Linked DNA regions of Arabidopsis thaliana. The protein of the gene in region 1 interacts with the protein of each later gene in a biochemical or structural test. Each region holds a gene or a part of one and is shown in the gene's direction. Other genes may lie near its edges.

The links.
Region 2: the proteins of MYB90 (region 1) and GL3 form a complex in vitro, tested with the Arabidopsis thaliana proteins (2 studies listed by BioGRID).
Region 3: the proteins of MYB90 (region 1) and EGL3 form a complex in vitro, tested with the Arabidopsis thaliana proteins (2 studies listed by BioGRID).
Region 4: the proteins of MYB90 (region 1) and TT8 form a complex in vitro, tested with the Arabidopsis thaliana proteins (one study listed by BioGRID).

What each region holds. Positions count from the first base shown.
Region 1 is NC_003070.9:24,762,244-24,766,074, forward strand, and holds MYB90 (myb domain protein 90), read left to right. Parts: upstream 1-1,697; 5' UTR 1,698-1,808; coding exon 1,809-1,929; intron 1,930-2,446; coding exon 2,447-2,576; intron 2,577-2,658; coding exon 2,659-3,157; 3' UTR 3,158-3,298; downstream 3,299-3,831. UniProt on the Arabidopsis thaliana protein: Transcription activator, when associated with BHLH12/MYC1, EGL3, or GL3. Promotes the synthesis of phenylpropanoid-derived compounds such as anthocyanins.
Region 2 is NC_003076.8:16,527,412-16,533,815, forward strand, and holds GL3 (basic helix-loop-helix (bHLH) DNA-binding superfamily protein), read left to right. Parts: upstream 1-1,678; 5' UTR 1,679-1,886; coding exon of another isoform or gene 1,887-1,888; 5' UTR 1,889-2,021; coding exon 2,022-2,167; intron 2,168-2,508; coding exon 2,509-2,790; intron 2,791-3,369; coding exon 3,370-3,466; intron 3,467-3,563; coding exon 3,564-3,635; intron 3,636-3,955; coding exon 3,956-4,789; intron 4,790-4,873; coding exon 4,874-5,308; intron 5,309-5,383; coding exon 5,384-5,455; 3' UTR 5,456-5,876; downstream 5,877-6,404. UniProt on the Arabidopsis thaliana protein: Transcription activator, when associated with MYB75/PAP1, MYB90/PAP2 or TT2. Involved in epidermal cell fate specification.
Region 3 is NC_003070.9:23,597,468-23,603,678, forward strand, and holds EGL3 (basic helix-loop-helix (bHLH) DNA-binding superfamily protein), read left to right. Parts: upstream 1-1,945; 5' UTR 1,946-2,183; exon of another isoform or gene 2,184-2,336; 5' UTR 2,337-2,341; coding exon 2,342-2,460; intron 2,461-2,648; coding exon 2,649-2,921; intron 2,922-3,469; coding exon 3,470-3,566; intron 3,567-3,671; coding exon 3,672-3,743; intron 3,744-3,825; coding exon 3,826-4,563; intron 4,564-4,684; coding exon 4,685-5,104; intron 5,105-5,195; coding exon 5,196-5,267; 3' UTR 5,268-5,697; downstream 5,698-6,211. UniProt on the Arabidopsis thaliana protein: Transcription activator, when associated with MYB75/PAP1, MYB90/PAP2 or TT2. Involved in epidermal cell fate specification. Negatively regulates stomata formation but promotes trichome formation.
Region 4 is NC_003075.7:6,179,897-6,187,054, forward strand, and holds TT8 (basic helix-loop-helix (bHLH) DNA-binding superfamily protein), read left to right. Parts: upstream 1-1,984; 5' UTR 1,985-2,170; coding exon 2,171-2,307; intron 2,308-2,526; coding exon 2,527-2,778; intron 2,779-3,159; coding exon 3,160-3,256; intron 3,257-3,444; coding exon 3,445-3,459; intron 3,460-3,541; coding exon 3,542-3,598; intron 3,599-5,282; coding exon 5,283-5,529; intron 5,530-5,613; coding exon 5,614-6,365; 3' UTR 6,366-6,627; downstream 6,628-7,158. UniProt on the Arabidopsis thaliana protein: Transcription activator, when associated with MYB75/PAP1 or MYB90/PAP2. Involved in the control of flavonoid pigmentation. Plays a key role in regulating leucoanthocyanidin reductase (BANYULS) and dihydroflavonol-4-reductase (DFR).

The sequences.
Region 1 (3,831 bases):
CAAAAATATTTAATCATAGAAAATAATTAAATAATTAAATCAGATGATAAATGTAATCAAATAATATATATTTTTCTTATAAATTTTACGTCCACGCATAGCATTGATTAGAACCTAGTACTATGTGGAAAGTTGTAACTTTTAGTTATTTGGTTTAGCTTGTATGTTACATTGAGAGTTACATATATAGTAGTAACAACTAGTGGAGACCAAAAGAGGTCGACGATGTCGAGACAAAAAAGAATGTGAAAAAGTATAAAATAGAAATGAAAAAAGATTGGCAGATGAAAGGGAGTATCAAATTATTGTGGGAATTGAAGTCGCTTCTATCGGATAACTACACGACTAGGTATTGCTTATGCAAATAAGCTATCTATCACGGCACATGAGTAGCCCAAGATGTTTTACTTCAAGCAGGCTAAGCGATTTATACGCTACATTAAATGGACCACAAGCTTGGGGTTGTATTTCAAATCCAGAAATGAATTGGGCTGGAAGCATGGAAGATATTAGAAGCACAATGGCTATGTGTTTCATGCTTGGAAAATTTGTTCTCTTTGCAACCACGGAAGCAATCGATCATTGCATATTGACATGAAATGTGGATATCAAACATGCACGCTCTTCTTGTACATATATAATAGCTCACATACTCTCATTGTCAAATGTCTTTCAAGGATTTGTGTAAGCCATAGTATGTATACCCTCTTCATCAGCAATTTACTTATAAGTTTTTAAATAATTTGGTTGTGATACTTTTAGTGATTATCTTTGGTTCATGGAGGCTTCTTCGTCCACTGAGTTGAAGAAAGGTACATGGGATGGTGAAGAAGATAGTCTCTGAGGCAGTGCATTGATAAGTATGGAGAAGGCAAATGGCATCAAGTTCCTTTAAGAGCTGGTATATATACTATTGTTGTAAACTATTGAGTCACTTATATTGATTAGACACAAGTTTATATTCCTCACACACAAATCTAATTTATTTACATAATGTAATTATCCAATACAACTTGTTCCAATGCAAGCTTAGATGGTCACCGATTGCCGGTAGATTGCCTGGTCGGATCGCTAATAATGTCAAGAATTACCGGAACACCCATCTCAACAAGAAAGAAGAACCGTGTTGTAAGAGCAGAATGAGAAAGAGGGAAACTACATGTTCAGCTACGTCACCGATCCAAAGACTCAATGTTATAAAGCCTCGAACTCAATTCTATAACGGCCGGCTCAACGGGCAGCCAGAAGTTAGCTCTTTCAAAGTAAGCATTAACAAATATGGTGGTATCAGATTCACATGTAACAATGATAAGACGAAATATGAGTTTGTGAACATTATTTGCAAAATTTTCAGTAAAGAAAAATACTCCAAAAGTTTTTGTAAGAAGGTGCACCCTATTTTTTTTATTTTGTTCTATTTCTCGTGCATGAAATAACTCTTCCTTGTAATCATGAACCCTCTGAGACCAATCATTACTAGTCCTTTCTCCTAATTTTGATAAGAAACGTGTAATTTGTTTTTCTTAAGTACTGGAAAAGGTGCTATGAACTTTTTCTCTAGTCAAATCAAACAATAACTTAGTAAATTAAGCAGAACCGCAAATACATGAAATGTGGATATCAAACATGCACGTCATTTTCCTATGCCCTTCACGTGTATATATATACCTATTCGCTCACATGCTCACATTATCAATAAGTCCTCCCAGGATTTGGGAAGCCACAATAACCCCCTATTCCTCGGCCTTTTTTAAAAAAGTTTTAGAATAATCCGATAAAATACTTTTATATTAATTTTTCTTTGGTCCATGGAGGGTTCGTCCAAAGGGTTGAGGAAAGGTGCATGGACTGCTGAAGAAGATAGTCTCTTGAGGCTATGTATTGATAAGTATGGAGAAGGCAAATGGCATCAAGTTCCTTTGAGAGCTGGTATGTTACACACACAGATATATTCATGACTAAGAATATTCTCTTCTCTATATATAATATTCGGAAATCTTTATTTTACTTTTCTTTTTGTTTTAAGGAGCAAATTATTGATTCATATGCTAGTGTATGGTAAAACAAAAAAAAACAAAAAAAACAACTGGTTATTCAGAATAATTCTTTATGCAGTTTATTTAAACGAAGAGTTTTATATAAATAAAAAAGTTATACTATTTTTTATTTACGTAGCATATATATATATATATATATATATATATATATATATATAGCTTATTCTTCACAAACAAGGAAGATGCTAAGCTCATGTAAAGTTGTTAAACTATTTCACTGGGCTGTCTTCTGGTGAGTGAAGTCAGTGAAAATTTATGAACAAACGGTTACTGTGTTGAAACAGTTTAATCTTTCTATTGGTGTGCTTAGATTCTTCAAGATGAAACATAGAAAATGACCCAAAAGCCGTCTTGGTTGGTATAATTAATGTCAACTATTGGTTATGTAGGGCTAAATCGATGCAGAAAGAGTTGTAGACTAAGATGGTTGAACTATTTGAAGCCAAGTATCAAGAGAGGAAGACTTAGCAATGATGAAGTTGATCTTCTTCTTCGCCTTCATAAGCTTCTAGGAAATAGGTATTGTTTACTTTAATGGTTATTTCAAGAGCCATAAGTTCAACACTAATAACTTATATGTATATTATTTAACAATGTTTAGGTGGTCCTTGATTGCTGGTCGATTGCCTGGTCGGACCGCTAATGATGTCAAAAATTACTGGAACACCCATCTGAGTAAAAAACATGAGTCTTCGTGTTGTAAGTCTAAAATGAAAAAGAAAAACATTATTTCCCCTCCTACAACACCGGTCCAAAAAATCGGTGTTTTTAAGCCTCGACCTCGATCCTTCTCTGTTAACAATGGTTGCAGCCATCTCAATGGTCTGCCAGAAGTTGATTTAATTCCTTCATGCCTTGGACTCAAGAAAAATAATGTTTGTGAAAATAGTATCACATGTAACAAAGATGATGAGAAAGATGATTTTGTGAATAATCTAATGAATGGAGATAATATGTGGTTGGAGAATTTACTGGGGGAAAACCAAGAAGCTGATGCGATTGTTCCTGAAGCGACGACAGCTGAACATGGGGCCACTTTGGCGTTTGACGTTGAGCAACTTTGGAGTCTGTTTGATGGAGAGACTGTTGAACTTGATTAGTGTTTCTCACCGTTTGTTTAAGATTGTGGGTGGCTTTTCTTTCGTATTTTAGTAATGTATTTTTCTGTATGAAGTAAAGAATTTCAGCATTTTAAGAAAAATGGTTATGTTTCTACGTAATAAAAAAAAACGTTATTTATATTTTTCGCAAAGAAAATACAGTATTTTCCTAAATGCAGTATTTTCTAACTAAAGTTAAAGGTGATAATGTTTGTTAAAATATCACTCAACCTAACCATAGAAAATTCAAAAGCATAAGAAAGTTTTAACCATGAAAGATATGTCTTATGGCAAGTAGACATGGTGGAAGGTTGTATGGTAATGTGGTATTTCACAAGCATAAGAAAGTTATAATTAAGATCTGTTTGGTCTAACCGTTAAAATAATAGCTAGTTTAAGTACAGTAGTAAACATAATTATTTAATATTATCTTACAAAAATTATTTGATTGATACAATAATGGAAGCAAGTAGGGTTAGGAAAAATGGATACACTATTCGTTCTGCAACAAATAAATGACAATGTACTATTGTAGTACTTGTAATTGTTTCCCTCCCCCCCCCCCCCCACCACACACACACAGACACACACCACTCTCCTGAATTAATTAGAGTAGTTATATGAAATCATATATTAATTATTGATTATGTTTGCTCAAAACTGTTGACATTTCT
Region 2 (6,404 bases), on another chromosome or scaffold:
CTTCTTTTTTTAATTAGTTCCGTTTATATATATGAAAGAGGTCTTACAGAGGAGCCTTAATGCTCAGATACAATCAAATAAGATAAACATATAGAGACGAGTGTTCTAGTAAGATCAGTAAAGATGTGGTCTAATTTTGTTGGAAATTAGCAAACCATAGCGAAAGATAGGAGTCAGGAGATGGAGTTGTTGAAGTGAAGATGACGTCTTGATCCAAACCAGCAAGGCTTCATCGGATTAGGAGTTGAATTCCCCATTTAACTTGAGTTAGTATTCTGATTGAAAATAACAATATATATTAGTGTTACATAAGTTTGGATCAGACAAATTTTATATTGTTGTATCGAAAGCTATACCAAATTTCCTAAATATTACCCTCAAACATCAACACATCCGATTAATTTACCGAAACCTCCGATCAACAGCACTACGAATGTTTAGACTTTGATCTTGTAGGGGACCGAACGTGTATATATATTTTAATGTTTTCTGACGTCAACGTCTCTCTCTTTTCTAGATGTCAGAAAAGGAAAATAATAAGTACTAATGGTCCATTTAGCAGGGTTTTATTTAAAGTTATATTTTAAATAGTTGCATAAATACTTCGAAAATATAGGTTTAATAGTATAAGAGAATTTTGAAATATAATAATATTGTAAGTATATGACTATAGGGAGAATCAACGTCGAAAATGTCCATAACATTTTTATTCATTTTAAAGATGTGATTGCAAAAATTAAGATTGTGTCTGTACGTATTGGGGGAACTCCTCGAGGCCAAACATTAATTTCGTGTCTTTCTTTGTGTTTCCCAATTTTAGTAAAGACTGTTCTTATATTATCTCTTTCCTCCTCAATTTATCTATTATTGTGTTTGTGACTATAATTTAGATTCATAGCGATTAGCTTCGTTTTGACACCAAGTAAAAAGCTGATGATTTTACTATTATTATATATGTTAATCATATACTCTGATTTGAGACATTATACTTTTGGTCGTTTTGTGTACTTTTGGAAAATTCATAAAACGATGTTACTCACCGACAATAATATATTTCGATCACTCAAATAGTAATAAGACTGATTAGATTATACAAAATGAAAGAAATCATACGATGCTGGTTAGATTGGACTTGGATCACATGCTAATGGTATTCTAGTCAACATTGCTTCAAAGATCTAATAGTCAAGGAAACAAATTTTTTTTTTTTGGTATCAGTGGGGATATTAAGTGAGGGAAACATTTTTTTTCAAGAATAGATGGGTGAAAAGTTCAGCCTTGACGTGATAACATTTTAACTTTAAAATCAGTGTTGGAAGAGACACACAATGATTCAATATTCCCAAAAAAAAGAGATCTCTAGAACCACAAAGAGACTGAATAGAGAATTTATTGAAGACAAGACCACAACAATGGACATTGTAGTTCATTGTCTTAAAAAAAGGTTGTTCTTCCCAAATGAGGAACTAATCAATCAACTTCAAGATAAAAAGAGGAACAATCAATCAACATCAGCGTTTTGCTTTTTTCCTCTACTTTTGTATCCTTTTTTTTTCTCATAAATCATTAAAAAATTATAAGTACTTTTTATTTTCGTCATAAATGTCTTGTGTTTTGTTCTGTACACAACAAAGATGATATCGTCATATTCAAAGAAAAAAAGGATTCGTAGACAGTTCTTCTAGTCTTTCGAGTTCAAGCTCAAACAACAACAAAATTAATATTCAAAACAACATTAATAAAAAAAAAGTATGGAGTGACCAAAGAAAAAAAAAACTCTCAAACATTTCTCTGTTTGTTCCGGCGAAAACGGCAACTGTTTCATCAAATGACAAACACAAAAACCTTAACATCTAGTTTGTATCCTCTCTGATACTTCAAAAAAAATGTAAAGAGTTACAAGTTTCCCTTTTTCTTTCTTTTTTAGGCTATAAATTTAACATAGTATCTTATTTCTTTCTAAATCAGGACAAAAAGTTTGATTTTTTTCTTTTCTTTTCTTTTTCCCTGTGTGTGGTTTCATGGGATATAGGGATGAAGAAACAATGGCTACCGGACAAAACAGAACAACTGTGCCAGAGAATCTGAAGAAACACCTCGCAGTTTCAGTTCGAAACATTCAATGGAGTTATGGTATCTTTTGGTCTGTCTCTGCTTCTCAGTCTGGGTAAGTTTCTTAAATCATATTCATTGAACACTAGATATTGGAGATTTTGAAAGATATTGATGAAGTAAATTTCTTGATTTTAATTGGAAAATTAGATAAAACTTATGTGTTCACTTCAAATCAAAACTAGTGTTTAGTTCTACAACTCAAGACAAGGTTCTCTAGGTTTTTCTTGATTCCATTGATTTTTTCTTATAAACTCATATAAGGTTTCTTGATCTTCTTTAAAAGTTCAATTTTTTTTCTCTTCTTCTTGAAGTTCTTGATTAGTTCAAGAAAATGTTTTGTTTGTTTTCTTTATTCGATTTGATATTTGTTTTTGTTTTTCTATATATAAAAAGAGTTTTAGAATGGGGAGATGGATACTATAATGGAGATATCAAAACGAGGAAGACGATTCAAGCTTCGGAGATCAAAGCTGATCAGCTTGGTCTACGGAGGAGCGAGCAGCTTAGCGAGCTTTACGAGTCTCTCTCCGTCGCTGAATCTTCTTCTTCAGGCGTTGCTGCCGGATCTCAAGTCACCAGACGAGCTTCCGCCGCCGCACTTTCACCGGAAGATCTCGCCGACACCGAGTGGTACTATTTGGTTTGTATGTCTTTCGTCTTCAACATTGGTGAAGGGTAATTCCGTCTTTTCCTCTATCAGCATTGACATTTATTATGTGTCATGATCGTGTTGATCTTTGCCAGTTTTAAACAACGTGCCAAAATATACTTTTAATACTAGTAGGTCCAAGGATTTCGACTTTTATGGTTCAGTTTAGGTTTGTTAGATTTCAGGGTTCTGCAGGAAAAAAGTATGAGCTAGAACCAATTTTTTAGTTTCAGTTTGGTTTCAAAATTTAATGTCCGGATTTGGTCGGTTTCAGATTACAAAAGAAAAAGTTAAAACATAATTAATTTTAAATAATAATGTGTATATATATGCATTAGTATGTTTAACTCTATTCTACATCTAATAAATTTTATTAATTCGGTTTGGTTGCAGTATATTTGTGTTCGATTCGAGTTTAGTTCGGTTTATTTATCATCACAAAAGTTTGTTTCTGTCCGGATTAATTAAAAAATTCGTTTCATTTTGGTCTTTATGAACACGGCTAATTAACTTTCAATAATTATGAATATGTTAGGAAGAAAAAATGTGGAAAAATTAAGCTTAGAATGCATTGCTGCTTTCTAAATGAACCTGTCTTTTTGCAGAATGCCTGGACGGACGTTTGCAAACGGTGAACCGATATGGTTGTGCAACGCTCATACGGCGGATAGTAAAGTGTTTAGCCGTTCTCTTCTAGCAAAAGTAAGTTGTAGTATTGATGTAGTTGCTATGTAACACTTTTTTGCGATTTGAAAACACTAAAATCGTTCGTTTTTGTTTGCGTTTTGTGGTGGTTTAGAGTGCTGCGGTTAAGACAGTGGTTTGCTTCCCGTTCCTTGGAGGAGTCGTTGAGATTGGTACCACAGAACATGTAAGCCAATATTTGTGTTTTCTGCTTCCAATGTTTTAGAATAATTATTATGAAAATCCTTTATTAAGAAAAAAAGAATAATTATAAAATTACCACAATGTATTCTAACATTTCAATTTGACCCTTCAATCTGTCGAATAACGGTATAGACACCAAGAACACACAAACTAATATTTTAGTAGTCTCGATTTTTAAAGATTTCCACGGTTTGGTTATGACAAAACGCGAAAATACGGCTTTTGTACTTTTTACTAGCTCGTTGGTATAGTTATAATTGAAAACTTTTTCAAGGCTTTTTCTTGGTGTGTTTCGTCTCGTAGATTACGGAAGACATGAATGTAATACAATGCGTGAAGACATCATTCCTCGAAGCCCCTGATCCGTACGCTACAATATTACCAGCAAGATCCGATTATCACATCGACAACGTTCTTGATCCGCAACAGATTCTAGGCGACGAGATTTACGCGCCTATGTTCAGTACGGAGCCTTTTCCAACAGCTTCTCCGAGCAGAACTACCAACGGTTTCGATCAAGAACATGAACAAGTAGCAGATGATCATGATTCTTTCATGACCGAAAGAATCACTGGAGGAGCTTCTCAGGTGCAAAGCTGGCAGCTCATGGACGACGAGCTTAGTAACTGCGTTCACCAGTCGCTAAATTCCAGCGATTGCGTCTCTCAAACGTTTGTTGAAGGGGCGGCTGGACGGGTTGCTTACGGTGCAAGAAAGAGTAGAGTTCAAAGACTAGGGCAAATTCAAGAGCAACAGAGAAATGTGAAGACATTGTCATTTGATCCAAGAAACGACGACGTTCATTACCAAAGTGTGATCTCAACGATTTTTAAGACCAACCATCAGTTAATTCTCGGACCGCAGTTTCGAAACTGCGATAAACAGTCAAGCTTCACTAGGTGGAAGAAATCATCGTCATCATCATCAGGAACCGCCACGGTCACGGCACCATCACAAGGAATGTTAAAGAAAATTATTTTCGATGTTCCGCGAGTGCACCAGAAAGAGAAGTTAATGTTGGACTCACCAGAAGCCAGAGATGAAACTGGGAACCATGCGGTTTTAGAGAAGAAGCGCCGCGAGAAATTGAACGAACGGTTCATGACCTTGAGAAAAATCATTCCGTCAATCAACAAGGTATATTTATATAATCGATTCTTCAAAATTTCAAATCCATATATATCGCGAGGTAACTAATCTTATGTTTAACATTTTCGATAGATCGATAAAGTATCGATTCTTGACGATACGATAGAGTATCTTCAAGAACTCGAGAGACGGGTTCAAGAACTAGAATCTTGCAGAGAATCAACCGATACAGAGACTCGTGGGACGATGACGATGAAGAGGAAGAAACCATGCGACGCAGGAGAAAGAACATCAGCTAATTGCGCAAATAATGAAACAGGAAATGGGAAGAAGGTGTCGGTTAACAATGTTGGTGAAGCCGAGCCAGCAGATACCGGTTTTACTGGTTTAACCGATAATTTAAGGATCGGTTCGTTTGGTAATGAGGTGGTTATTGAGCTTAGATGTGCTTGGAGAGAAGGAGTATTGCTTGAGATAATGGATGTGATTAGTGATCTCCATTTGGATTCTCATTCGGTTCAATCCTCGACCGGAGACGGTTTGCTCTGCTTAACCGTCAATTGCAAGGTATACTCTCTAACCTACTTTTGGCTTAACCAGGATTTGGTTAACCTAGATTGACATGAAATGTGTTGGTTTCAGCACAAGGGGTCAAAAATAGCGACACCAGGAATGATCAAAGAAGCACTTCAAAGGGTTGCATGGATCTGTTGAAGACTACTTAGTTAAAATTGACAGCAAAGAAAAAACATTCCCGGTTTGGTTTCTATTCTTTGGTTTTCTTCTAACCGGGTTTTAGGAATTAATGTTATGTTTATCATTTGTTTTTTGTTTTTTTTTTGTGTCTTTTTTTCCGTTGCTTAACGTAGGTGAAGAGGAACATACACTATGCGTATTTTGTTTGAGGTAGATTATTTTAAGGGTATTAGTAATAGTAATAGCCAGTTTAGATGATTTTGTGTTCTTTTGTTGTTTAAGCACAAGGTTGATGTGAAATTACGGGGAAAAAAACATTAATGTGTAAATGAAAATTAGTGGTCAAAAAGCTTCACACGAAACGGGAGAAGATTCTGCATTTTGGCATTTTCATGGATAACAAAGAGGTAAAGTTTATGATAAGAAATCCAGATTAATTTCCTTAACTGGGTCATAAATGATTTCATTGAAATAACATAGTGAAAATCAACAAAAATAAATGCTGTAATATCTTATTTTTACAAATTTAGAGGTGTTGACCAAATTACTTTCTAATTTGCTTTATGTAATTTTACCTATCTAGTCATGTCTTATTATGTTTTACTTACCAACTCATGTTATTCTTTTCGTTTAATATCAAGGATATTTCAAACCCAAACTGAAAATAATCTTCATATATTAATGGAAAACCAGAGTACTCTTATCTTATCATTTAAAATCTTTGTGTTGACAAAAAAATCTTAAACAATAGTATAAAAACATGAATCTTATTCCTTTAAATTCTAAGGTGAATTCTAATTTACTTTCTAATTTGTGTAAAAATATAAAATATAGAAAAATGGGTAAACTTGATTATCAAGAAAAAGATCCAAATTGGAAAGCTAAAATATTGTTATTTAGAAGGTAGAACCAAAATTAATGACTAAAAATATTTTTCTTTGAATAAAATATACCTCATATGGAAAAT
Region 3 (6,211 bases), 1.2 Mb from region 1:
GAATCAAAATCATAGAGAGTGGCTCGCGCTGACAAAGTTATTAATGCTAAATTAAATAAACTGGACCCCAAAAAATGGACTGTTCGATCACTCTTTTTTTTTTTTATCAACAGTAGACTCTGTTCCGTGCAATTAATGCGAGCATCTCTTTCATTTTACTTTTTCAATATTTTGTTTTTATTTCTATTGTGTGAAGAATTTATTTATATTTTCAGTCTCGATAAAACAATGCATCATCATCTGCGGCGTTAGATATTATAATGAAAGATTTATTAGTTGTGTACTAGCTAATGGTTAATATGTCATATGTGTAACAAAATGAGGTGTATATTTAGTTTGTTTTTTTGTTTTTTTGTTTTTTGTCCAATGCATTAGAAGTACTGTCCAGAATTGTAGTATTTCACTACATTTTTATAGTCAAATTATATATATTAAGCAAAAGTCAAAATGACCCTTTTTGAGCTGAGAGCCGGAGACTATAGGCTACAGAATCTAATGTTTGCGTGTGTTCACGATGACCACAGTGTAACTAGATGACATATCTTTTAGGAAAGTAACGAAAAAAATAATCAGCAAAGAAAAACTATTTAAGAAATTACTGAAAACACAGACGTTCACGTTGATATAAATGTACAAATCTTCATTTATCAGGTTATTATGTTTTATGAATCATACAGTTAGTACATGAAATAAACAATATCTGACTCCGTTTTTCAACGTACAGACACGACAAGTAGTCCTAGTTAGGGGTGATAATTTTGGGAGATGCGAAGAATTAATTAAGAGCATGCACATAGCATATGATAATAATGACTCTTGGTTTCTTCTTTATTAATCATCTCATTTAAATATCATTTTCTCGTGATTTTGATCAACATAGGTTGTTACATAGCTAAACCCATTATCAATCCCTTACCTTAGAATTGAAGTCAAGGAAGAATACTAAACCTTACATTATCTTTAGATCCCAAATTCACTCGTTCTTGATAACCTTATTGTCTAACTCCATATATAATTGGCTCGTGTACGCATCTTTAATACAAATAATTTACGAGGTTGCGATTAATTAAAATGAAGGTGCATAGAAAATTAATTAGCAATTATACAAATGTTCTATGGTATTTCCGAAGATTCGAAAACAATGTAGAATATATATATTCAATGAACATAGTATATATTATATTTTAGTTAAACCATACAACGTAATTTAGTCAATACTAGAAGCTTGTCTCTCTCTCCAGGGTATCTCCTCGAGGCATAACATTAATTTCATGTCTTTCTTCGTGTTTCACCATTAGGATTTGTTCTATCTTAAAATCAAGTTAATATTTGTGTATATATTTGACCAGTAAGGCAGTAACATATAAACATTGCTTATAAGGGTGGCAAATTGGTTTGGTTGGATTTGTAAGTGTTATGCCTATGAATTTTTTTTTTGGTTCAAACTCTGCTTAAAGTCTAAAGACCTATATTATGAGTTACTAAAAAAAGTTATTTCCTCCGTTTCAAAATATAAGATGTTTTAAATAAAAATATAAAAATTAAAAAATCAAAATATAAGATGTTTTAATTAAAAATATAAAAATTAAAAAATATTTTTTAAAAAATTCAGCAGATTATAAAAGCTGATGCATAATATAAATATGTATACAATATTAAATTAATCTATAATTTACATAAAAACTTGAAAATATTTTATATTGTGAAACAAACAAATTTCTTCAGAACATCGTTTATCATGAAACGTAGAGAATAGGACATATCATTGATAGAAAAAAGATTTTAGAGATGGAAAAATAACTAATTTCTCTTAACAAAAATAAATTTCCAAAAGGAGAGTGGTGCTTGGAACACCGTATTCAAAAGGGTTATACACTAGACACTACTTTTTTTTTTTTTTACCATCTTGTTTTATATATATTTATTTAAAATTCCTCGTAAAGTTCAGTGTTTTGTGATTATATACAGTGTACACACACCTAAAATAAGTATCCATAAAGAGATTTGGTCATTCGGACACCGTCCTTTTCTCTCAACTCAAAGCTCAATTCAACCACAACAGATAGTAACTTGAAAGTCACAAATATTTAATATTTTCCCATTATAGAAGGTTAAAAAAAATAAATATATTCTGGGTTTTGTTGTCTTCTTCTTTCTTCCTCAGGAAACCAAACCAATGTCATGTAAAAATCACTAACTCATGACTAGTCATAACCTTTAAATCACTTCTGCTTTTTTTCTGTTTCTCTTTTGATTTATTCAAAGACAACAAAGTTTTGTTTTTGACAAAAAATCTGATCTTTGTTTGTTCGTTTGTTTGTTACATGGGGATGAAGAAACAATGGCAACCGGAGAAAACAGAACGGTGCCGGACAATCTAAAGAAACAGCTCGCAGTTTCAGTTCGAAACATTCAATGGAGTTATGGAATCTTCTGGTCTGTCTCTGCTTCTCAACCAGGGTACAATCTCGTAATCTTTATCCTTCAAATTAACTTTTCTTGAAAATAAAGTTTTGTTTGAGACATTCTTGACTTTAGTCCAAAACTCAGATAAAACTTTATCCTTACTTCAAGATTTCGATTTTTGTTATGTTTTCTCGATTAATCCAATTTTTCTTGGCTATCTTTTTTGTTTTCTCTAAACGAAGAGTGTTGGAGTGGGGAGATGGATATTACAATGGAGACATAAAGACAAGGAAGACGATTCAAGCAGCAGAAGTCAAAATTGACCAGTTAGGTCTTGAGAGAAGTGAGCAGCTTAGAGAGCTTTATGAATCTCTCTCCCTCGCTGAATCCTCAGCTTCCGGTAGCTCTCAGGTCACTAGACGAGCTTCCGCCGCCGCTCTCTCACCGGAGGACCTCACCGACACCGAGTGGTACTACTTAGTATGCATGTCTTTCGTCTTCAACATCGGTGAAGGGTAATTCCGTCTCTTCCTCATAATCCTTTCATTTCACCTTTTTTAAAAACAAAAACCTATCTTTCAGAAAAATTTCTTTTATGAAGAATATCGTTTTTAAATTATAGTATTATTTTATTCGTAGACATTATAAGAAAATGTAAACGATACCAAAATTCTAAAAAAAAAGTATAAGGGTATGTTTTATTTTGTCTCATAAAAAAAGACAAGAACACCCTTTATTAGCTTGTCTCCTTCATTTCTTCTTCCATGTGAGCTTATTCAGAAATCCGACATGTACGAGTTTAATTATTAACAATGCAATTATCCTTTATATTTACTTAATTTTTTTTATGTTTGTAGGTTTTTTTAAAGTATACCTCTTTTTAATCTTAGAAGACATACATAGATAGAAATGCGAAAGCACAACGGAAATAAGTTTTTACTTCATTTGCATAATTGCATTATACATTTGCTATTCAAAGAAAGTAGTAGAAAACTTTTGTTCCCATTAAGATAAAGATTTTGAGATACAAAACATAAAGGGTATTTCCGTCTTTCTAATGTAGAATCCCCGGAGGAGCGTTATCCAATGGAGAACCAATATGGCTTTGTAACGCTGAAACCGCCGATAGCAAAGTCTTCACTCGTTCTCTTCTAGCTAAAGTAAGTTTTTTGCAATTGGAAACGCTAACGCTAGAATTCAAGAACGCTATAACTGAAAACGCTCTTTTTTTTTTTTTTTTTCGTTTGGCGTTTTGCTCTTTAAAGAGTGCTTCGCTTCAGACAGTGGTTTGCTTCCCGTTTCTTGGAGGAGTCCTTGAGATTGGCACGACCGAACATGTAAGCCTATATTTCCTATTTTTTTTCCAACACTATCAAAACATTCTTAAAAGTACCCAAAACTTATCTTTTGTTCTTTTAGATTAAAGAGGACATGAACGTGATACAAAGTGTTAAGACGTTGTTCCTTGAAGCTCCTCCATATACTACAATATCGACAAGATCAGACTATCAAGAAATTTTTGATCCCTTAAGTGACGATAAATACACTCCGGTGTTTATAACCGAAGCTTTTCCAACAACTTCTACTAGCGGGTTTGAGCAAGAACCTGAGGATCATGATTCGTTCATCAACGATGGTGGTGCGTCTCAGGTACAAAGCTGGCAGTTTGTGGGTGAAGAAATCAGTAACTGCATTCACCAATCGTTAAATTCAAGCGATTGCGTTTCCCAAACGTTTGTTGGAACAACCGGGAGACTTGCTTGCGATCCAAGGAAGAGTAGGATTCAACGGTTAGGTCAGATTCAAGAACAGAGTAACCATGTAAATATGGACGACGATGTTCATTACCAAGGCGTGATATCGACGATTTTCAAAACAACGCATCAGCTAATACTCGGACCGCAGTTTCAGAACTTCGATAAGCGGTCTAGCTTCACAAGGTGGAAGCGATCATCATCTGTGAAAACATTGGGAGAGAAATCGCAGAAGATGATAAAGAAGATACTCTTCGAGGTTCCTTTGATGAACAAGAAAGAAGAGTTGTTACCGGACACACCAGAGGAAACCGGGAACCATGCCTTGTCCGAGAAGAAACGCCGCGAGAAATTGAATGAACGGTTTATGACATTGAGATCAATCATTCCCTCAATTAGTAAGGTAACCGATTCTAGCAAATCTGTTTCAGTAACGTTTTATGTTTATTTCTTGATAATAGGAAGACATGTTTAAATATAATGCTCTGAAGGAACTAAGCTTGAGTCTCTTGCTGATTCTACAGATTGATAAAGTGTCGATTCTTGATGATACAATTGAGTATCTTCAAGATTTACAGAAACGGGTTCAAGAGTTGGAATCTTGTAGAGAATCTGCTGATACAGAGACACGGATAACGATGATGAAGAGGAAGAAACCGGATGATGAGGAGGAAAGAGCATCAGCGAATTGTATGAACAGCAAAAGGAAGGGGAGTGATGTGAATGTAGGAGAAGATGAACCAGCTGATATCGGTTATGCTGGTCTAACGGATAACTTAAGGATCAGTTCATTAGGTAACGAGGTGGTTATTGAGCTTAGATGCGCTTGGAGAGAAGGGATATTGCTTGAGATAATGGATGTGATTAGTGATCTCAACTTGGATTCTCACTCGGTTCAGTCGTCAACCGGAGACGGTTTACTCTGCTTAACTGTCAATTGCAAGGTACAGTCATTAAACCAAGCTTGATTTATGTTACTCAACCGGAATATGAGCAAACCGAAATGTGATATGTAATGTTTAATGTTGATTGCAGCATAAAGGGACAAAAATAGCAACAACAGGAATGATCCAAGAGGCACTTCAAAGGGTTGCATGGATATGTTAAGGATTCAAGGTTTAGATTTGACAAAATTAGCTTTTTCTCTGGTTTGGTTTCCCAATTTTCGGTAATCAGTGATTCTAACCGAGTTTTTGTGATTTTGAAGTTTTGGAAGATCCTTAAGAATTCTTGAAAAATCGTTCCTTTTGGCTCATTACGTAGGAGAAGACAATAAGAAATTACTTACTTAGCAATTAGCATACTATGAAATTCAATTATGCGAAATATGAAAACCACTCGTAGTAGTTCGTGCACTATCATTTTTAAAAGTAAGTAAACTAGAACTTTTTTTTTGTTGTTGAAAGTAACTTTTGTATAAGTATTTGTAACGAGATCATATTTTGTGACTAGTTCAAGTTCGACCAAAAACATTATAGTAAAATCTAAAGAGATACTACATAGCCCGATTCCAGTATCTTAAGTCTTCAATCTCACTTCAAATATTCTTTATATGTTTTTAGAAAAGTTATGTAAGAAATTAAAAAAATATTTTTAGAAAAGTTAAAGATAGAAATGGTGGTCAAAAGCTGATAAAAGTGTTCGCAAAATACACTGCCTTATAGAGAAAAGAAGTAATGTCATTTCAAATAATTGCATCTAACGCCACTGAGATCTCACTTCAACATGTGTTACCATTTTAACATTAACTTTTTATTTCAAAAAGAAAGGAAGAAAATTGTAAGCACAAGGACTATACTGTATTTGGATTTCGTTTGGTAGCATCAAAGTAACACTCTCATTTTAGTAAGAGGTTAACTTTATTGAAAATACACATAATGTGGGGTTAGAAATTGTGTTGAACAATTTCTTGATTTAGAACGAAACTTAAAAAGAGTGGAAATTCTTTAATGGGTTGGTTGGCATGGTAGGTGGCCATTAAGAAGATCCATGAATTGGTGAAGTTGAGGTTTATATCATGTATTAGCCTCGGTATATAGTGTGTAAACCTT
Region 4 (7,158 bases), on another chromosome or scaffold:
ATAAATTTTGTCTATCTCCATCACTTACACCCTTTTTTTGTAGATAATGTAATTTCTTCCTCAAGATCTGAAGAATCATAAATCACATAGTTTAGTCAATGTTACAATACACACGACTAAAAGAAAAATTACAAAATTTTATTGATAGAATTTAAAATATACCACTAGACACTAGACTTTTGTCTTTTCATTAGTCATTACCGCTTGATATTTTTACTATCTTACGCATGTTATGAAAGATTATAAAGCTTAGGTTTTGGGTAGCAAAAAAGGGTTAGGAAAAAGAAAACCATACTATTTGTTATCCGAAAATGTCAAACTAATTCCTCTAACTGTGGTAAAAGGTTATAAAATCAAATCCTCTAGATTGATGTAAGTGATTTTTAAATCGTTATTCGGTCAGATCACAAGTTAATGATGAACTTTTCAGGGTTCAATACATGGCGATTTTAGCCATGGATCCCCAACGGGATCATGGGATTACGGTCCAACTGACCGGTTTGGACCGGGTCTTAATATATTGAACAAAATACAAGAAATCTCTCATTCACACGAATGATTACATTTCAGAAAAAGAAAGAAAAAATAACTCAAAAAACTTCACACCAATTTGCATCACACTATATTACCCATTATTTTTCTACAATTATGTGGTCCACTTTTCAAATAGTTCACTCTCATCATAAACCGGCCGGGGTCCTTCAAAGCTCATGCAGTTGTGCGTTGTAAAGATATATTGTATTCCAACAACTAATTCTTGCCAAAACACTTTTGGCTAATGTCATTTTCATTGAAAACAAAGCATTATAAATAGGAATGATTTGTCATTTCTGGAATGGAAGAACTTGGGTTTTAGTTAACATTTGTGCCTAACCAACCTCTCGTTTATGTACTAAAGCATTGTCCTTGTGATTGTGAATAACCAATCGCTCATTTCTGTGTTAGAACAGTATTGTTTATTTTCTGTTATTTGAATCATTTCCAATGAGAAATGAGTTACATAACACCTTTATTTATAAACACAAAGATGCACACAAGGAGAAGCAAAATCAATAAGAAGAAACCACTCCACGTGGCCCGTCGTCAGAGTTACATAATTGGTGAACGACTAAACTCAGAAGAAACAACATGTAATAAGAAACACAGAAGCAGAAGCAAAAGCCAAGCAACATTTATTTTGTCGACAAAAAAGCCAAGAAACATTCAATGTTGATTTTGTCTAAGTAACCAGGTGTACATACATTACCCTTAACCATACCCAAAATCGTATGTACTACGATATGTGTACGTAACAGTATCTATCTACATTTATATTTTATAAGACATTATTAAATGGGAAACTTATAGTGGCTAGTGGCTGCTACTTGGCTAGCAATTAACATCAATAATTTAATAACTCAAATGTGAAACATCTCATTCTTCTCCTTTATTACACCAAACCATTTCTCATTCTTTACTTACCGGTCAGGTCAACAATTCTACCATTCCCCATCTTTGGTTAAGTTTATCTTTTCATTTTAAAGAAAATATATATGAATGTTCATCCAATAATTCCAACTTCTTAAAATTGTTAATGAACATTTTAATCAATATATAATTTTAATATCAATTTTATAAATAATAGAAATGTGAAAAACGCAATTTCTTTGCTCCTTGTAGCAGTAACACAAGTCAAAGCAACATTTGTTTTCATTTGTTTGTCAGTTAGCTATTTTATCTACAATAATATGTTATGCTTTCTGAACAATAAATAAATATAGCATTATTAGATATATTCATTCTGTATTTTGATTTGTCCAATTAGTATATGACACGTCTACAAGATACATAGATCTTTCATTATTTCACTTTCTCATCCAACGTCTGGTGAACCAACCATTCAAAAATCAAAAGTCAACTTTTAATGCACTTGAGTTTTGGTCATGCATTCATATACATACATATATACATAGAAGTCATTACATGCATTATACTTTACTTATGTCAACATGTTGCAAAAGCACTAAGATGATATACGTATACATGCATATTGCAAAAATCAGTGGTCCCATACCATTTTAAGTCATCATGAGCGTATGAGAGTAAATTCTTCTCACATATTAATAACAACCCTTCAAAGTTATAAGATTTTTAGAGAGAGAGCTACCACGTTTTCGTATCTCCGGGAACGATGGATGAATCAAGTATTATTCCGGCAGAGAAAGTGGCCGGAGCTGAGAAAAAAGAGCTTCAAGGGCTGCTTAAGACGGCGGTTCAATCTGTGGACTGGACTTATAGTGTCTTCTGGCAATTTTGTCCTCAACAACGGTTAGTTTCTTATCTCTATAGTTCATTCATCTCTCACAATACAACCATAATATCTATATCCGTATATATTATGTAAACTATATGTTTAAATGAATTCGGCTAATTGTTGGCTTGTCGTAGTGTTACAATTCGATCTTGAAATAATTTTTTTTTTTTTTGAAGGTTTTACAAAATTTATTAAGATTTTTGAACTACTTATATGAAAGTATCATTGTTTAGGGTCTTGGTGTGGGGGAATGGATACTACAACGGTGCAATAAAGACGAGGAAGACAACTCAACCAGCGGAGGTGACGGCAGAAGAGGCGGCGTTAGAGAGGAGCCAACAGCTCAGGGAGCTTTATGAGACACTTTTAGCCGGAGAGTCAACGTCAGAAGCAAGAGCATGCACCGCATTGTCACCGGAGGATTTGACGGAGACAGAATGGTTTTATCTAATGTGCGTCTCTTTCTCTTTTCCTCCTCCATCTGGGTAAACAACTCTCTCCCTATACTCAAGTTTCTAAATTTGTTCTTTCTTTTTTTTCCTTCTCTAAGTGAAGACAAAAATAGTATTGTGTGTTAAATGCGAATATCGAAAATATTGTGTTGACATTAAAGAGAAACTGAGGAAGTTGAGTTACTAGAATAAGAAAGAAATGAGAGTTAATGAAACGTACACACACTACATTTTCATGAACATTATTGCGACCGTTGAGATTCTCATTGTTTGGTGATTGATTATCTAAAGTAGAAGCATGAATAGATATAACATAAATGCATAACAAAATGGGTTAGTTATGGGTATACTTCATGCTTTTCTCTATGTGGTAAAAAAAAATCAAATATAAATTTGGGAGGTAGTAATTTGTAGGATGCCAGGAAAAGCGTATGCAAGGAGGAAGCACGTATGGCTAAGTGGTGCAAATGAAGTTGACAGTAAAACTTTTTCTAGAGCTATTCTCGCTAAGGTAAATTCTTTTATTCATTCACCAACTATACTATGCATCTATTTTTACCTATTTATGTATACACTATACTATGTATCTATCTACTTGTAAACCTATTTATCTATACTTTTATACATTTTCACTGATTAACTTGAATAATTCTTCTTGTCGTTTTATGGGCCTTTTACGTCGGTTCCTCAATGACTTAGAGTGCTAAAATTCAGGTAAAATTTGTCTTTATTAGTTTGCTCTTTTTAGTAAGATTTGAGAATTGTATTCTGATGAAAATGTATTTTAAAAAAGCAGACAGTGGTTTGCATTCCAATGCTTGATGGTGTTGTGGAACTAGGCACAACGAAAAAGGTAACGTTGTATATACTCTCTCTTTTATTTACTTGTTAATGAAATATATAAACAAAATAACAAAGTGAATATAGCCTATCTTTCTTTAGGTTTAGTAATGTTAAATTAAGGAGATGCACTACAAAAAAAAGGTTGTTTTACATCATTTATTATAAATATTTGCATTAGTTAAAAGTGATGTAAAAGAATTTTGTATCACTTAAATAAGTGACTTAAATATTGTTGATGCAAATAATTTGCATCAGTTAATTAGTAACTGATGTAAATAATCAAAATAATTACATCGATTATTATAATTGATATCAATATTGTATCAGTTACTAAAAATGATGTAATGTTTACATCAATTTATTTAAGTGATGTTAGTATTTGTTTCGGTTTAAATAACTGATTTAATTAATATATATATAATTATTAATACAATGTTATTAATATTTCAAATAATTATTTTATTTATTTCTTTTTTTTTTTTAAATAACAGATCATTGTGGATAATTACTCGTTGGAATATCTACTAAAATTTTATCAAGATTTAATAAAATATTTTACATGAACAATAAATCTTTATATAAGATAAGCAAAAAAATAATCATAATTTGGTTTTGGTTTCTTCGTGTTTAAACACATCTTTCTTCTGTTCCATGCTTCTTCCTTCCATTAACTGTTGGTTCTTCTTGAAAAATACCATTTCTTCTTCTATGCCATCTCTCTTCCATTTACAGAATCAAAATCATACTTTGGTTATAACTTATATCTCTTGAATCCTCATCACACTTGAGTTTCTGCTGTACAAAATAAAAAAGAGAGTAATTGTTTGAAAATTTACAGAATTGTTTTGGTCGGAATAAGAATAACCATTTGTAAGTATTTTTAAAAGAAAGTGATAGAGTACCTTTACTTTGTGTTTCTCCAAACTGTGTAGGAAAACAAACAGTCCTAATGATCAATGGCAGATTTCTGAAAATAAAAGAAAAGAAAAAAACTGAGCAATGGTTAAGAAAAAGAGAAAGATAGAATGATAGAAAAATAAGAAAGTACTTGTCGTTGAAGATGAAGAATTGAATGAGAGTTATGAGATTTCAAAAACTAATTTGAAGATATTCTAAAAACGTTTTTGGATACAAAACTGTAAAAAAAGATCGTGAGCGTAAAAGCAGGATTTATAGTGAAGGAAACAAATATATTTAGTTAGCTGATTTTGAGGGAAAATATAGGAATTAATAATAAATTATTAACCCAATATGATTATTTATTTATGGTAATAACAATTTCTCGTCATCTACAATAAATTCAAGTTAGTTTTTTGTTTAAATTAAAATACAGAAAAACTTATTAGCATCACTTCTTATTGATGTATAATTTTATATCATTTTTATAAACTGATGTTAATAAAATTAAGTGAATACATCGGTTATTTAATTGGTGTAAATACAGATTTTTGTATCAATTTGTTAAAATGATGCAAACTAATACAAATTTCTATCAATTTGATTAAAGTGACGCTAAACATGTTAATTTATACATCACTTATTATAATTGATGTTTAATTATTTATTTTGTGTCATTTGCTTATAAGTAATTTAAACTTGTACCATTTATACTTGTGATACTATTTAATTGATGTAATCTATCCTTTTTTTTGTAGTGATGGATCAATATTTATTTGTTGTATTTGTGTGTGTAGGTAAGAGAAGATGTAGAGTTTGTTGAGCTCACAAAGAGTTTCTTCTATGACCACTGCAAGACGAACCCAAAGCCGGCTCTTTCTGAACACTCCACCTACGAAGTGCATGAAGAAGCCGAAGACGAAGAAGAAGTAGAAGAAGAGATGACAATGTCAGAGGAAATGAGGCTTGGCTCTCCTGATGATGAAGATGTTTCCAATCAAAATCTACACTCTGATCTTCATATTGAATCAACCCATACGTTAGGTATATATATCTACCCTAAGCTACTTATATTTTGCGGATTTATTTCGCTATATCTAAGAAATTATCATTTGTATATATATGTAGACACACATATGGACATGATGAATCTAATGGAGGAAGGTGGAAACTATTCTCAGACAGTAACAACACTTCTCATGTCACACCCCACAAGTCTTCTTTCAGATTCAGTTTCCACATCTTCTTACATCCAATCATCGTTTGCCACGTGGAGGGTTGAGAATGGCAAAGAGCATCAGCAAGTGAAAACGGCGCCGTCGTCACAATGGGTGCTCAAACAAATGATCTTCAGAGTTCCTTTCCTCCATGACAACACTAAAGATAAGAGGCTACCGCGGGAAGATCTGAGCCACGTAGTAGCAGAGCGACGCAGGAGGGAGAAGCTGAACGAGAAATTCATAACGTTGAGATCAATGGTTCCATTTGTGACCAAGATGGATAAAGTCTCAATCCTTGGAGACACCATTGCGTACGTAAATCATCTTCGAAAGAGGGTCCATGAGCTTGAGAATACTCATCATGAGCAACAGCATAAGCGGACGCGTACTTGTAAGAGAAAAACATCGGAGGAGGTGGAGGTTTCCATCATAGAGAATGATGTTTTGTTAGAGATGAGATGTGAGTACCGAGATGGTTTGTTGCTTGACATTCTTCAGGTTCTTCATGAGCTTGGTATAGAGACTACGGCAGTTCATACCTCGGTGAACGACCATGATTTCGAGGCGGAGATAAGGGCGAAAGTAAGAGGGAAGAAAGCAAGCATCGCTGAGGTCAAAAGAGCCATCCACCAAGTCATAATACATGATACTAATCTATAGACCCTAACTTTATTGATGCCAACTCTAGAGAAGGATAATTAAGCGTATTTTTGTTTTAGCCTCACATGTATTAAGACATCAGTTACATATATAGCCGGATGCAACATATAAATGAAAATGTACTAGATGATATTGTTCATTTGTCCAATGTAGTACTTGTGTATGATGCAATTGCAACATATAAATGCAAATGTACTAGATGACGATGTTGTTCGTTGTCCAATTTAGTACTTTTGTATGAATGCGATATTTGGATGCAGATTCAGTTGCATCTAAAACATCATATTTTTTTTGATGCATAAAGATGTAGAATTTCTATGTAGTTTTTTCTTACGTTCAAATTTGAGAAAATATTATTAAAAAATCTTTACAAAATTCATTAAAATAATTTATGCCAAAATTTGTATGTCATAATTTATGTAATTTTATCATTAACCTCAGATTAGAGAAATCAAAGAGTTTATATAAAACATTACATTCTACTTTGGTGCTCAATTTTAAGAATCAAGTTGTAGCACATCAAATTACGAAATCAAATTTTCCAGCAAAATTACGAAATTGCGTTTTAGTGTAAGAATCAACAATTTCTAGAGTAGACTAATAGTTATACTCATAATTAGTGTATGGAAGAACATTTATAAGTCAAGAATATTAAGCTATCAACCAACGAGATAAATGTATTGACAATGTTCATAGTTGCAGCATGAGCTATATATATTTTTCTCTTAGTTGATCATCATACATTATCAAAGCTGCAAGATGTGTAACTGCATTGGCTCCACTTCCTTTGTTG